2 linked regions of the Arabidopsis thaliana genome follow. The protein of the gene in region 1 purifies or fractionates together with the protein of each later gene. This does not show direct contact. Each region holds a gene or a part of one and is shown on either strand. Other genes may lie near its edges. The genes, in order: TWN2 and AT3G02760.

The links.
Region 2: the proteins of TWN2 (region 1) and AT3G02760 fractionate together in Arabidopsis thaliana (co-fractionation; one large-scale study listed by BioGRID). This does not show direct contact.

The regions. Positions count from the first base shown.
Region 1 is NC_003070.9:5,008,282-5,016,546, reverse strand, and holds the start of TWN2 (valyl-tRNA synthetase / valine-tRNA ligase (VALRS)), read left to right. Parts: upstream 1-2,013; 5' UTR 2,014-2,060; coding exon 2,061-2,195; intron 2,196-2,314; coding exon 2,315-2,380; intron 2,381-2,891; coding exon 2,892-2,954; intron 2,955-3,080; coding exon 3,081-3,259; intron 3,260-3,340; coding exon 3,341-3,413; intron 3,414-3,585; coding exon 3,586-3,651; intron 3,652-3,731; coding exon 3,732-3,815; intron 3,816-3,946; coding exon 3,947-4,024; intron 4,025-4,111; coding exon 4,112-4,195; intron 4,196-4,359; coding exon 4,360-4,439; intron 4,440-4,600; coding exon 4,601-4,658; intron 4,659-4,732; coding exon 4,733-5,035; intron 5,036-5,125; coding exon 5,126-5,296; intron 5,297-5,430; coding exon 5,431-5,630; intron 5,631-5,773; coding exon 5,774-6,176; intron 6,177-6,283; coding exon 6,284-6,535; intron 6,536-6,619; coding exon 6,620-7,120; intron 7,121-7,204; coding exon 7,205-7,311; intron 7,312-7,435; coding exon 7,436-7,535; intron 7,536-7,619; and 4 more. Other genes in the region: decoy, read left to right, coding at 46-206, 436-501, 851-925, 1,021-1,150, 1,245-1,370, 1,456-1,599. UniProt on the Arabidopsis thaliana protein: Required for embryo development and seed viability.
Region 2 is NC_003074.8:596,360-602,723, reverse strand, and holds AT3G02760 (Class II aaRS and biotin synthetases superfamily protein), read left to right. Parts: upstream 1-1,940; 5' UTR 1,941-2,073; coding exon 2,074-3,423; intron 3,424-3,497; coding exon 3,498-3,677; intron 3,678-3,767; coding exon 3,768-4,025; intron 4,026-4,108; coding exon 4,109-4,522; intron 4,523-4,601; coding exon 4,602-4,742; intron 4,743-4,827; coding exon 4,828-5,136; 3' UTR 5,137-5,619; downstream 5,620-6,364. Other genes in the region: IPP2 (isopentenyl pyrophosphate:dimethylallyl pyrophosphate isomerase 2), read left to right, coding at 1-146; AT3G02770 (Ribonuclease E inhibitor RraA/Dimethylmenaquinone methyltransferase), read left to right, coding at 840-1,023, 1,391-1,707.

The sequences.
Region 1 (8,265 bases):
TCTCTAACCAAACTCGATTTCGTTTCTGGGTTGTGAGATTGAGAAATGCCGAGATCATCTTTGCGGCTACTAGCTAAGCCTCTCTTGGAGAGCAGGCGAGGGTTTTGCACGAGCTCTGATAAGATCGTAGCTTCGGTGCTTTTCGAGAGATTGCGCGTTGTGATACCCAAACCGGATCCTGCCGTTTACGCTTTCCAGGAGTTCAAGTAAGCTCTCTCATCGCTTTGCTTGTGTTCTGTTTTTTCTTTGGTTGAGGAATGGTGAGATTTTGAGAGAAAATGGGGGGAAAAGTATAGTTGTGTGATTCAAAGACTGCTTTTTTATGTTGCGGAATGAATAAGATTTGAGTCATTGAGCACCGAAATTTTGATTTTACTCTCTGGTTCATTTTGATTTTGATCACGTTTTGGTCTTGATTTTGTTGCTCTATGGCAGATTCAATTGGCAACAGCAGTTTCGTCGTAGATATCCCGATGAGTTCTTAGACATTGCTAAGAACAGGTAAAAGTTTCTGTTTTTCTCAATCTTCTTTTGATATCATCATGTGTCCAAGCATATAATCTGCTCGAAGGTTTCTTCTGCATTCAACTTTGTGTCATCCTTGTTAGTTATTATGACAATAGCAAAGAATGTTAGATTGGGAGTTTTTCCGAGTAGCTCCGTGAGTTATTGTTGCTCAATTCTTCAGCAGAATTACCTTGCCTGAAGTGAACTATATTAGAAGTGTTACATGCTCATAGATATATAGTGAAGGTTCTGTATAGGTCAGTTTCATTTTTCTCCAAGTGCGGTGAAGCTTCTATGAAAATTTCATTTCGTCTTTGGTTAATCTTATGATACGTGAATACAGAGCCAAGGGTGAATACCAAATGGACTATGTACCTGCTCCTAGAATTACAGAGGCTGACAAGAATAACGATAGGAAGTAAGTTGTTGGCACCTCTTAAAGCTTCCTGGCCTGTTGTATTTCTCTTCGGTTGATGATTGATAGTTACTTTTGGGAAAATGCTGCTATTATAGGTCATTATATAGAGCCCTAGACAAAAAGTTGTATCTTCTCATATTCGGCAAGCCATTTGGAGCTACTAGTGACAAACCTGTTTGGCACTTCCCAGAGAAAGTCTATGATTCTGAGCCAACTCTTCGCAAGGTGTTTGTTTGATTTGATGCCTCTATTTCAACACACAAGACCATAAAATTTCATTCATGTGCTTATTGTTAATATGTAAATTCGGTATTTGCAGTGCGCGGAATCTGCTTTGAAGTCAGTCGTAGGAGACCTCACTCACACATACTTTGTTGGAAATGCTCCAATGGCTCACATGGCCATACAACCTACAGAAGAAATGCCTGATTTGCCATCTTACAAGGCAAGAACGAACGTTAACGGGGTTTTACTAGTATTAGTAATTTCAGAAGCTCAAGATTTCTAAACTGAATTTTGTTGTTGTGTAGAGGTTCTTCTTCAAATGCAGTGTAGTAGCAGCATCGAAATACGACATAAGCAACTGCGAGGATTTTGTGTGGGTAACCAAAGACGAGCTCTTGGAATTCTTCCCTGAGCAAGCTGAATTCTTCAACAAGATGATCATTAGCTGAGCCACTCACACCACAAAAACTCCTATTTTCATCCCTTCTTCTCCATCAATGTCATCTCTCTGGTATTAGACAGTGTGAGAAGGTCAATGTAATAACCAAACAAAACCATGTCTCTGGTTGTGACGTGAAGGAAATTTTTGTTGACAGTTGATCTGAAGTACGTAGTTGAATGTAGTTGTGGCTTCTTTCTCAACCTTTTTTTATACATCTCTCCGATAGATATTATATTACGTATCTTGATAAGAAATCACACACTCGTTGATTCGAGAACAGCTTGAAATATATATTGAGTATTGACCGTCGTAATTCCAAGCCCACTGGGCTTAAAACGAAATACCCAACTTGTAACCCAAATCTCTAATTTTTTCCGGTTTAATTTCTAATTTTTAAAATTAAAAATGTTTTTTGTATAGTGTTAAAAAAAAGGAGCATTTCAATTAGCCCTAGCAGGTTTTTTGTCTATGTCACTACTCTTCCTAAGAAGAGCCAAGCCGTTATTTGTATCTTGTTGTTCAGCTACTCATTCTCGCTCCAGCTTCTTATCTCCGACGCTTACGAATCAGCTAGTTCGTTCGTTTCACGGTTCCAGAACAATGGTACGATTTTGTAATCACCGATTGTTTGTTTCTCCGTTAGGATTACCCACCGGATTTCGAAATTCTGCTGCTATTTGTTTAAGTCTGAGAATTGAATGTTTGTTTTCTGAATTTCGTAGTCGGAATCAGAGAAGAAGATCCTGACAGAGGAGGAGCTTGAGCGGAAAAAGAAGAAGGAAGAGAAGGTTTGACTTGTGATTTTTTTCCCCATTTTTCTCAGAAACGTTTTCTGGAGTCGATTCAACGTGGTTGTGCTGTTCTCTTTGAGCTTGATTTTAACAATTTTGATATCTAGAATCTCATAGACGAGTGTGATTGAGTTTATTGTTCAATCATGGGACTAGCTAATAGAGATTGGATAGTGATAACTATGGATTACCCATTTGGAAAATGGAACTGATGAGATCGTATTGTTATTTTTAAGATAGAAAAGTTTGAGAAACCGTCTTCACTATATCAGAATGAAGAAGTGTTCTACATTTAATAGTTTGAGTACTTGGCACAAATTCGTATAATCATAGTTTGTGTTTCTTTTGGTGTTGTTTTAGAGTTGTATACTTTTGAATACGCCTTACATTTCATTTTTCTTTGTGTGGTGGGAGTTAGTTTTAAGTAAAATATTGACTCAATTTTGATTTTTTCAATCTCATTAATTTCATTATATTTTGTTCGAATTCAATTGTAATTTATTCATAGGCTAAAGAAAAGGAGTTGAAGAAGCAAAAAGCTTTGGAGAAAGAGAGGCTGGCTGAACTGAAGGTAAGCTCTGAGGAACTCCAATTATTCATTTCGGGTTCCTGCTTCATATGTATGTGTAATGTGCCAGCCAAATCCTTAATTTTCCCTGTAACTTGAAATATTTATCATGGTGTGCTTCTCGTGTAGGCAAAACAGGCCAAAGATGGAACTAATGTCCCTAAAAAGAGCGCAAAGAAGAGTTCCAAACGGGATGCGTCAGAAGAGAATCCTGAGGATTTTGTGGACCCTGAAACTCCTCTTGGAGAGAGGAAAAGGCTTTCTTCACAGATGGCCAAACAATACAGCCCTGCTACCGTGGAGAAATCGTAAGTGTGTAGATCTTTTTCTTTGACATTTATCCCAAGAAGTTCCTCTAGATAATCTCTGTTATTCTGTAATTGGGTCAGATGGTATGCTTGGTGGGAGAAATCTGACCTTTTTAAGGCGGATGCTAAGAGTTCCAAGCCACCTTTTGTAATTGTAAGGCCTAATCCGATTCTTAAATTCATGCTCGTTCTGGATTCGACCTTCTTTTTATTGTCTTCTCGAATACTTAATTTGTGAAAACCAAATTGAGTTGAGAAAATCTTGAGCTTCTGAAATTATTAATACTATTTTTAAAGTTTCTTTAATCCTTTGATTGATTCTGCAGGTTCTTCCTCCTCCAAATGTGACTGGAGCCTTGCATATTGGCCATGCGCTTACATCTGCAATTGAGGTTTCATTAGCATATTGTTTGGTGCTATAGCTGTCTATTGTTCCTCCCGATGATCAACGGCTTAATACTTGTTGATGCAGGATACAATTATTCGTTGGAAGAGAATGTCTGGGTATAATGCTTTGTGGGTACCCGGGGTTGACCATGCTGGTATAGCTACACAGGTGAGCCCCAATCTCATCTCCCATATTAGTTGAAGTTTCAGCCTATAGAGTGAATCCTCGTTGGGCTACAGGCTTGTAGCTTTATCTTATACACATTGTATATTTTTTTTTTACTTGGATGTACATTCTAGGTGGTGGTCGAGAAAAAGATCATGCGTGATAGAGGCATGACTAGGCATGATGTTGGCCGTGAAGAATTCGTAAAGGAAGTGAGTTGAAAATTTAAAATATGTTGATGAATAGTTTCCTTTTTTCATTATACAAAAATTCTTGTTTTGCTTGTGATCATGGAAAAGGTGTGGAAGTGGAAGAACCAGTACGGCGGTACAATTCTAACACAGCTACGGCGACTAGGAGCTTCTCTCGACTGGTCTCGTGAGGTAATATCCAGTAATTTGACCTTTCTTGGATAAATGTTATAGAAAATTGGCTGTTTTATTTATTTCGCCACTAGGTGAACATATATGTAAATGATATTTTTTATCTTCACTTGTGTCCCTGGGCTATCCATCTTACGGATGTGTTTCGGCCTGTAAATTTATAGTGTTTTACAATGGACGAGCAAAGATCAAAAGCTGTCACTGAGGCCTTTGTACGGTTATACAAAGAAGGGCTTATATATAGGTATGTTTAAGTCTGACTTTGTTCTTTGATGCAAGCTATAGAATTCCTGTAGATGGAAACAGTAATATACCGAAATTAGGATTATAGGACCATTTTACCTTTTTCAGTTATCTTGTTGTAAGAAAGAACATTTGACTGAAGGTATACCATGGCTTCTGCAGGGATATTCGGCTTGTTAATTGGGATTGTATTTTGAGAACAGCCATATCTGATGTTGAGGTAAGTCAGCAGCAACTGTTAGACTAAGATTGTTGGAGGGCATCCTGTTTATGTGGAGTGTCTAATATCTGTAGGTTGAGTATATCGACATTAAAGAAAAAACGCTACTAAAAGTTCCTGGCTATGAGAAGCCAGTAGAATTTGGTCTTCTTACCTCGTTTGCTTACCCTCTGGAGGGAGGCTTGGGAGAGGTAATTGTTGCCACTACCAGGGTGGAAACGATGCTTGGGGATACTGCTATTGCTATTCATCCTGATGATGCAAGATACAAGCATCTTCATGGGAAATTTGCTGTGCACCCATTTAATGGGCGGAAGTTACCTATTATCTGTGATGGAATACTTGTTGATCCAAATTTTGGTACTGGTTGTGTTAAGGTATACCTCTACCTTATATATTTGATGCTGGGTTTCTGCCCCTATTAGTTGTGTTTCTTGTGTCAAAGTTACTTAATTCTTATTTTGTAGATTACTCCTGCCCATGATCCCAATGACTGTGAGGTTGGAAAGCGCCACAAGCTGGAATTTATAAATATATTCACAGATGATGGAAAAATCAACACAAATGGTGGGTCTGACTTCGCAGGGATGCCACGCTTTGCAGCTCGTGAGGCAGTTGTTGAAGCTCTGCAGAAGCAGGTAACTTTCTCTAACTCTTCACATAACATATATAATTTTTCTTTGATTGTTGGTTTGAGAATTTTTGTTACACTATGGGTAGTTGCTTGTAAGTGTCTTGTAGATTTTAACTGTTTTGTCAATATATTATTCAGGGGCTGTACAGAGGTGCCAAAAACAATGAAATGAGGCTTGGACTTTGCTCAAGAACTAATGATGTTATTGAGCCTATGATAAAGCCTCAATGGTACGTTAACTGCAGCATGATTGGAAAGGAGGCTCTTGATGTTGCTATCACTGATGAAAACAAGAAACTCGAGTTTGTACCAAAGCAGTACACAGCAGAATGGAGAAGGTTTCTTTCATTTATCTTTTACTCTATAATGGTTTCTTAATCTACCCCATCTATAGAAGCTCTTACAGCACAGCTGTATGGATAAGCTGCGATGGCGGTTTAAGATGTCATTACACCATCTATTAACAATCTTTACCTTACAGATGGCTAGAGAACATACGTGACTGGTGTATTTCAAGACAGCTTTGGTGGGGACACAGAATACCAGCATGGTATGCCACTCTAGAGGAGGATCAGCTCAAGGAGGTTGGTGCATACAGTGACCATTGGGTTGTTGCTAGAACTGAGGACGATGCTCGAGAAGAGGCTGCTCAGAAATTTTTGGGGAAGAAGTTTGAACTCACTCGAGATCCTGATGTACTTGATACATGGTTTTCTTCTGGGCTCTTTCCATTATCTGTTCTGGGATGGCCAGATGTAACCGATGACTTCAAAGCCTTCTATCCAACTTCTGTTCTTGAAACTGGACATGATATCCTCTTTTTTTGGGTTGCTCGTATGGTTATGATGGGAATGAAACTAGGTGGTGAGGTTCCATTCAGTAAGGTACATGTACATTTTAAGTCAAACAAGGATCACACCTCCTTTTAGATGCAAGTATCACTGTGACCGGTACTTATATGCAAAAAACATATTTTATGTCTTTGCTATAGGTTTATTTCCATCCTATGATACGTGATGCACATGGGCGTAAAATGTCAAAATCTCTTGGAAATGTCATTGATCCACTTGAAGTAATAAACGGAGTAACTCTTGAAGGTCTTCATAAGAGATTAGAAGAGGGTAACTTGGATCCAAAAGAGGTGATTGTTGCCAAAGAAGGACAAGTGAAGGACTTTCCAAATGGTATCCCTGAATGTGGCACTGACGCTCTTCGGTTTGCGCTCGTCTCTTACACTGCTCAGGTACTATCCATTGCACCGTCCCTAACAAGCTCCTTCTGTGTATGTTCTATAAACTAAAAATTGCGTTTCTTGATTCTTTTCTAGTCTGATAAAATTAACTTGGACATTCTTCGAGTTGTTGGTTACCGTCAATGGTGTAATAAACTGTGGAACGCCGTCAGATTTGCAATGATGAAGCTTGGCGATGGTTATACTCCTCCGCAGACTCTAAGTCCTGAAACCATGCCTTTCAGCTGCCAATGGATTCTCTCTGTTCTAAATAAGGCAATATCAAAGACAGTGGTGTCACTAGATGCATTTGAGTTCTCGGATGCAGCCAACACAATATATGCATGGTGGCAATACCAATTCTGTGATGTGTACATTGAAGCAATTAAGCCTTATTTTGCTGGTGACAACCCAACGTTTGCTTCAGAGAGGGCTCATGCACAACATGCTCTCTGGATAAGTCTGGAGACTGGTTTGAGACTGCTTCACCCATTTATGCCTTTTGTTACTGAAGAGCTATGGCAACGACTTCCCGCACCCAAAGACACAGAAAGAAAGGCTTCTATCATGATATGTGACTACCCATCTGCCATAGAGGTGAGTAAGATTTTCGGATTTTCCTTGTAACTTGTCATAATTGTTCACGTTTATAACTCTTTTATTCTGATGCTGTGAACCCAGAACTGGTCAAATGAGAAAGTGGAGAGCGAAATGGACACCGTTCTGGCAACTGTGAAATGCATGAGAGCACTCAGGGCAGGGTTGCTGGAGAAACAGAAAAACGAAAGGTCTGAGTATATGATTAAAGCCCCATTCGAGGAACACTTTGAGACATTTCATTAACCATCCTGCATTTTTTTAAAATGAATCTCACTAAAAAGGTTACTTAATAGTTTTATTCATTTTTCTCAGGTTACCTGCTTTTGCTCTGTGTGAAAACAACGTAACATCTGAAATTGTTAAGTCTCACGAGTTGGAGATCAGAACCCTTGCAAATCTATCATCCTTAGAGGTAAATTCTATCTTCAATTTATGTCTTACGGTTTATCTATTGTTTCGTGTATCATTTCTGAGTTTCTATGGGGCTTTGGTATAGGTTGTGTCAAAAGGACAACATGCAGCACCACCTGGATCTTCAGTTGAGACGGTGAACGAGAACCTCAAAGTATATCTTGAAGTGGACGGAGCCATTAACACAGAAGCTGAACAAGAAAAAATCAGAAACAAGATTGGTGAACTACAAAAGTAAGTCCTTAGACCCGTCACTGAATCAAAACAAGATGCTTGAATCTCATGTTAGTTTCCTGAGATTTCCTCCTTTGACATTTTTATTTCTTGTTTCATCAGACAAAAAGAGAAGTTGCAGAAGATGATGAGTGTGTCTACTTACGAAGAGAAGGTCCCTGCGAATATAAAAGAAGACAACGCAAACAAGCTTGCTAAGATACTCCAAGAATTCGATTTCTTTGAGAAGGAAAGTGCTCGTCTTGCTGCAGAAACAAGCAATTCAGGAAATCAATAAATGGAACTGAAGAACTGAGACACAGAGAGTCACAGTTTCTATCTGCGAAGGCCAACAAATGAAATATTTCAGGTTAAGAAACTATGTCTGATGATGTTATTGTGAACTAGTTTTGAGTTATAACACTATTTTTACTACATCTCTGAAAAGAAGACTGTTGATATTAGTTTTGAAGAGATTATTCCCAAACACCATTTGTTTTGGTCAACATGAACAACTT
Region 2 (6,364 bases), on another chromosome or scaffold:
AGAAAGCAGATGCAGGTGAGGAAGGTTTGAAACTGTCACCATGGTTCAGATTGGTGGTGGACAATTTCTTGATGAAGTGGTGGGATCATGTTGAGAAAGGAACTTTGGTTGAAGCTATAGACATGAAAACCATCCACAAACTCTGAACATCTTTTTTTAAAGTTTTTAAATCAATCAACTTTCTCTTCATCATTTTTATCTTTTCGATGATAATAATTTGGGATATGTGAGACACTTACAAAACTTCCAAGCACCTCAGGCAATAATAAAGTTTTCGTTTTTATCTTAATTAATGAATGAATGTCACAAAGTTTGTGAGATGTACAAAAAGCGTCGAGGAAAAGGATAACAAGGAAACAGAGTCGAAACCAGAGAAAAGGCAACGCAAAGATTCCTTTTTTCGAAGCTTAACGACAACCCACCTTCCATCTGATTTAAGTAAAGTTAAAAGTCACTAATTTAATATTATTGAACGACCGAAACAAGTATGTTGATGACTTTGTTCTCCTTTAAATTATCATCACTTCATTTCTCAGAGATTTACGCACACAGAGTTCTCTTCTTCGTCCTAGTTTCTTCTATTCCAGGTAAATGAAATAAGATTCGATCAAAACCCAGATGGATTTTGAAATAGTTTTCTTGTGAATTGAATGAAAAGTGTGTATCTTTCCTTCTGGGTTTTGATTGATTGACTGAGAATATATATGATCACTTTATCTAGACTAATCTCGATTTGTCTTTTGCTTTCTGTGTTTGAGTAATTTCTCGTAAATCTCATATAATCAAATCCCCAGATTACTTGTTTTGATCATAATTCTTGATTCAGGTGAGAAGAAAAAATGGCGTTTGTGACCACTGCGGAAGTGTGTGACGCGAATCAAGAGATGATTCGAAGTGGCCAGCTCCGAGCTCTGCAACCCGTTTTTCAGATTTATGGTCGTCGTCAAATATTTTCAGGTCCAGTAGTTACTGTTAAAGTCTTTGAAGACAATGGCTTAATCCGTCACTTCCTCGAAGAGAAAGGTATTAATGATTCTTGCTTATAAAATTCAAAAGACTGAAACTTTACTCGTAGAGCTATGAACTTTCAGAGTATCTTTGACATGGTTTATTGGTATTGTTACATTTTAGATTCAATTCTTGTGTTACTTACTTGTCAAATAGTTTCAATTGTTCTTTGCTTGAAACTATGTTTGAAGAAGTCTTAAGATCATCTCTCTATGATTTAGAACTACTGCTCAGTGTTTATATACTTCTTCAGTCACTTTGCTAATCAAGTTCTTGAATACTAGAGACGAGATAGGTCTTTCAAAAACCCGAGTCAATAAACCAATCTGTTCTCTGTAGCATTCACATCAAAAGCTCAATAATGTTTTAAATGTTAAAACAGGCAATGGTAGAGTTCTTGTGGTGGATGGTGGAGGGAGTTTACGCTGTGCGATACTAGGAGGAAACCCGGTCGTACAAGCGCAGAACAACGGATGGGCAGGGATCATAGTGAATGGATGCATCAGAGACGTTGATGAGATCAATGGTTGCGACATTGGAGTGAGAGCTTTAGCTTCTCATCCAATAAAGGCTAGTAAGAAAGGACTTGGTGAACAAAGAGTCTCTTTGAACATTGCAGGCACTCGGATATGCGATGGCGAATGGCTTTATGCAGATACTGATGGTATCCTTGTTTCTCAGATTGAATTATCCGTTTAAAAGGACACAAGTGATGTTGTTGATTTGTTAAAATCTGTAAGCTACTACTTTTGTGCTTTGTGTTTCTGTAATGGCTATCAGAGTAAAAGTTGGCTTCTTTGAATATGATTATTGAACTATTGAATCCGTTTCGAGTTGATAAAAAAAAACATTTCGTAAAGTGAAAATTGCAAAAAGATCCTTGAAGTATCCATACAAGCATTTTTCGTAGATCAATTTCCAATAACTGGATACTTCGAGGGTCATTTTGCAGTTTACCAATTTTCTAAATCCGCCTTCTTGCAATTTCACAGTGCTTCGTTTTAGGTCAAACACAACGAAAGACAGAAAACCCTAATCACTCCGGCTTCAGCTCTGTGTGTGATAATGGCGGCGGAGAGATCGTCCATCACTCTCGGAGGGAAAGGTTCTTCTTTATCTTCTTCCTCCGTTTACAATGTTGCTTCCGGCGTCGCTAATGTTCGAATTGACTCTTCTGCGATCGAGAGATTCTCCACTAGAAACGTTCCATCGATCAAAAGGAGCTCCTTTGGTATCCCTCAAGGGTTAACGAACGAAGAAACTCGAGCTTCTCTGGCTGTTCTCTTAAACAAGCTTATTTTGTCGACTTCTGGTCCTCCTTCTTCATCCACCGCTCGTTCTGTTCTTCCGCTTAAGATTGTTGAGATTCTGAATTTGAAGGCTGAGAGTTTGGAATTGGGTGAGATTGATGTGACAGAAGGGGAAAACATTGTGTTGGAGAAGTCGTGTGCTTCGTTGATTGGGATTTGTTCTATTATAGATCACAAATCGACGACTCTTTCACAGATTGTGGATTCTGTTGCTGCGTTGAGTTGTGAGGTTACAAAGGCTGATATAGCTTCGTTTAGCTTGTTGGATTCAGGAGATGGGAATGGTGATAAAGATGTGATTGGTGTTGCTGGTGATCTCAAGGTTTTGCTTAACGGGTATAAAGGTACAGGGAAATTAGAAATAGAAGAGATTTCGAAAATCCCTTGGATTCATGGGAAATTCAGGTATGTGGTGAAAAGCGTGCACGCGGATGCTAGGAGAGAATTGAATTCCGGTGTTAAAGGAGGCAAAACTGGGTCTGGAAACACTGGGATTGGTGAGGCTTTAGGAACAACATTGTTACCTTTGTTAACGGCGATTAAAAACTTGGGAGTGTGTTCGTTCCTTCGTGCTAAGCTTTGTTTTGAGAAGATTGTGGATGAGAATCTGAAGAAATGTTTATCTGAAAAGATCTGTGTTGAGAATGAGAATCTAAAGAATAGCTATAAGTTAGCTTATACTGCTCATTTGGAAGAGGATTACTGCAGGTTTGCTCACAAACTGAATGAGTGTCTGGGAATTGTATGGAGAATTGTTGGTTTGGAGGCAGTTGCTGCCTTTTTTGCTCTTGCTGGTGGAGAATTGTTTGTTCAGAAGAGCGGAGATGCGGACAAAGAAGAGTCGAAGACCGATAAGAAAAAGAAGAAGAATGAGAAAAAAGCAGTTGTGGGAAAGGGGACAAGCCTAGTTATCCAGTTTATCAAAGATAGATTGGTGAGTAATGACGCAGCAAGTGATGGTGACCAGATGCATTCATTGATGCAATGTGGGGAGCAAATCTTAAATCTTTTCAACCCAGAGGGTCGCAGTTTTGATAGCTTGTTGGATAAAGTGAAAGAGATTGTAGAAAGTAATGAAAATAGGAGACTTCCCAAGCTTCCAAAGGTAAATTACAATCTCGTATATGGAGAAGGTTTAGGCCTCAGAGTTAATTTCTGATTTGTTTCATTCTATGACAGGGAACTCGAGATTTCGCTAAAGAACAAATGGCAGTCCGAGAAAAAGCCTTTTCAATCATACAAAACGTTTTCAAGAGGCATGGTGCAACTGCACTTGATACTCCTGTTTTTGAATTGAGAGAGACCCTTATGGGAAAGTACGGAGAAGACTCGAAATTGGTTTATGATATTGCTGATCAGGTAGAACTCTTCTTGGCTGCTGTAATATCATCAGTTTATGTGATGATTTGTTTGTCAAAATTTGAGCTCATATGGATCTATTAATTGCAGGGTGGAGAGCTTTGCTCTTTACGATATGATCTAACTGTTCCATTTGCACGGTATGTGGCTATGAATGGAATCACATCATTCAAAAGATACCAAATAGCAAAGGTGTACAGAAGGGATAATCCATCTAAAGGGAGATACAGAGAGTTTTATCAGTGTGATTTTGATATCGCTGGTTTGTTCGAACCAATGGGACCCGATTTTGAAATTGTCAAGATATTAACTGAACTCCTCGATGAGTTAGAAATAGGAGATTATGAGGTAATAACTTAAGTTGAAAGTCTTAATCTTTCCTGGTTGGTTTTTTCTTTGGCTATGTTCTTAATTCTGGTTTGTTTAAATAGGTGAAACTGAATCACCGCAAGTTGCTTGATGGAATGCTGGAGATATGTGGAGTACCACCTGAGAAATTCAGAACCATCTGTTCGAGTATCGACAAGCTAGACAAGCAATCGTTTGAGCAAGTGAAGAAAGAAATGGTGGAGGAGAAGGGCTTGTCTTCAGAGATTGCAGACAGAATTGGCAACTTCGTTAAGGAGAAGGGAGCTCCTTTGGAGCTGTTGTCTAAACTGAGACAAGAAGGGAGTGAGTTCTTAGATAACCAGTCATCAAGAGAAGCTCTTGATGAGTTGAGTATCATGTTTGAAGCTCTTAAAAGATCAAAGTGCAGTGAGAGAATAGTCTTTGATCTAAGTCTAGCTAGAGGTCTTGATTACTACACCGGCGTCATCTTTGAAGCTGTTTGTATAGGAGCAGAGGTAAAATCCCGCATTTTGGCTTCCTGCAATTCAATTAAAGAAATTGTAGTGTATGGCCTTTGAATTCTTCTTTCTGCAGGTGGGATCAATTGGTGCTGGTGGGCGATATGATAACCTTATAGGAATGTTTGGAACAAAGCAAGTCCCTGCGGTTGGGATGAGCCTGGGAATCGAGAGAGTGTTTAACATAATGGAAGAACTTAACGAGAAACAGAAACAAGTAACTTGCCAAACCCTTATGCTGTTTGTCGACCTTGTTTTAAAAGAATGGTTTTTGAAGTTTGTGTTATTTGCTATGAATATAGGTGATTCGACCAACGGAGACACAGGTGTTGGTTAGTATAATGGTGGATAATAAACTAGCGGAAGCAGCAGAACTGGTAAGTCAGTTATGGGGTGCTAAGATCAACGCAGAGTATCTAGTGAGCAAGAGGAAAGAAAAGCATTTCAATCGTGCAAAGGAATCAGGGATTCCTTGGATGGTGATGGTAGGCGAAAAAGAACTCAGTGGAAGTTTTGTGACATTGAAGAAGCTCGAGAAGGGAAGTGAAGAGAAAGAAGATCAAACATGTACTAGAGATCGTTTCGTGGAAGAATTGAAGAAACTACTCTGAGTCGTTGAAAAGAAATGAAAGGTACACACACTCACTCCTGGTTCGATGCCCAGACAAAAGGAATCACAGTGTTTTGCATTCTTTTTTGCTGTTTTCCTTGGTTTGTTTGATAATGGTGTTTTGCATGACTCATGATTGTGGAGACAAGAACTTAGAGATTTTGATGTTGATGAAGTTTTCCGTATTTAACTAATTAGAGGAGATATACGTAAATGTTAAGCCAATTATCAGAATTACGTTTCTTTCAAAAAAATCCTTATCCCTGATAACCTAATCTGCGATCTTATCAGAAAAAAGAAAGAAAAAATAAGTAGGAAATGAGGTGGAAGAATATAAGACCGAAAAGAGAAAATAAAACACAACAGGTAAGGTTGTCTCCAAAAATAAAAAAAGTGATCTGCAGATCTGTGTGATCGCATTTGCATGAGATGAGAGGAAGAAAGATGGTACGTGTTGGTTTCTGTACCTCTCTGCCGACATGTGGTGGCTTCAAGTAACTAAGGTCACTTGTGTATTCACATCTCACGTTTCCATTGACTATTGTCTCTACTCATTTTCGATTCAACTACTGAAAATATTTGGTAAGAAACAAACAGGCGATTTACCATCCCCTACTGATCATTTATATAAAAAAACAATGAGTTCTTTGGTTCCTTAAATAAGAAGAATTCACGGTGGTTATTCTTTTATATACAATAGTTTACTAAGCGATACAATAATTAAATCTGATAAAGAGTCTCACCCTCATGGGATGATTGACTGATTGTGAGACCCTAAATATGATTTTGATCTAAAAATAAATGATCTGTTTTATTGAATTTTCACAATTTTAATAATTCTTCATATTATATATTGATGATATTCTAGTGGATGTCGGAAAATTATGTGTAAGAAACGTCTTATCCAAGCCCATGTTAATTCTGCCAGCCTGAAACAAAAAAAATATAAATATTTTCATACATTAATACGTAAAAAATAATAAAATAATGATTCATCAGAAAGAAAAAAATCTGATAACATAATTTTTGGATGTATTATTAATATAGTTTTTTTATTATTAGAGAGAGTGACCCATCTCCATTACTGTTTCTATCTCTCTCTTCTCCATTCTCTCTCTCTATAGAGACACACAAAAGTAGAAAGACGAAGAAGAAGAGAGAACGGGTTTGTAGTTGGTGGTTGCGTTTCTTTCTCGTTTATATTCTTCTTTCTTTTTTGTTTTCATCTT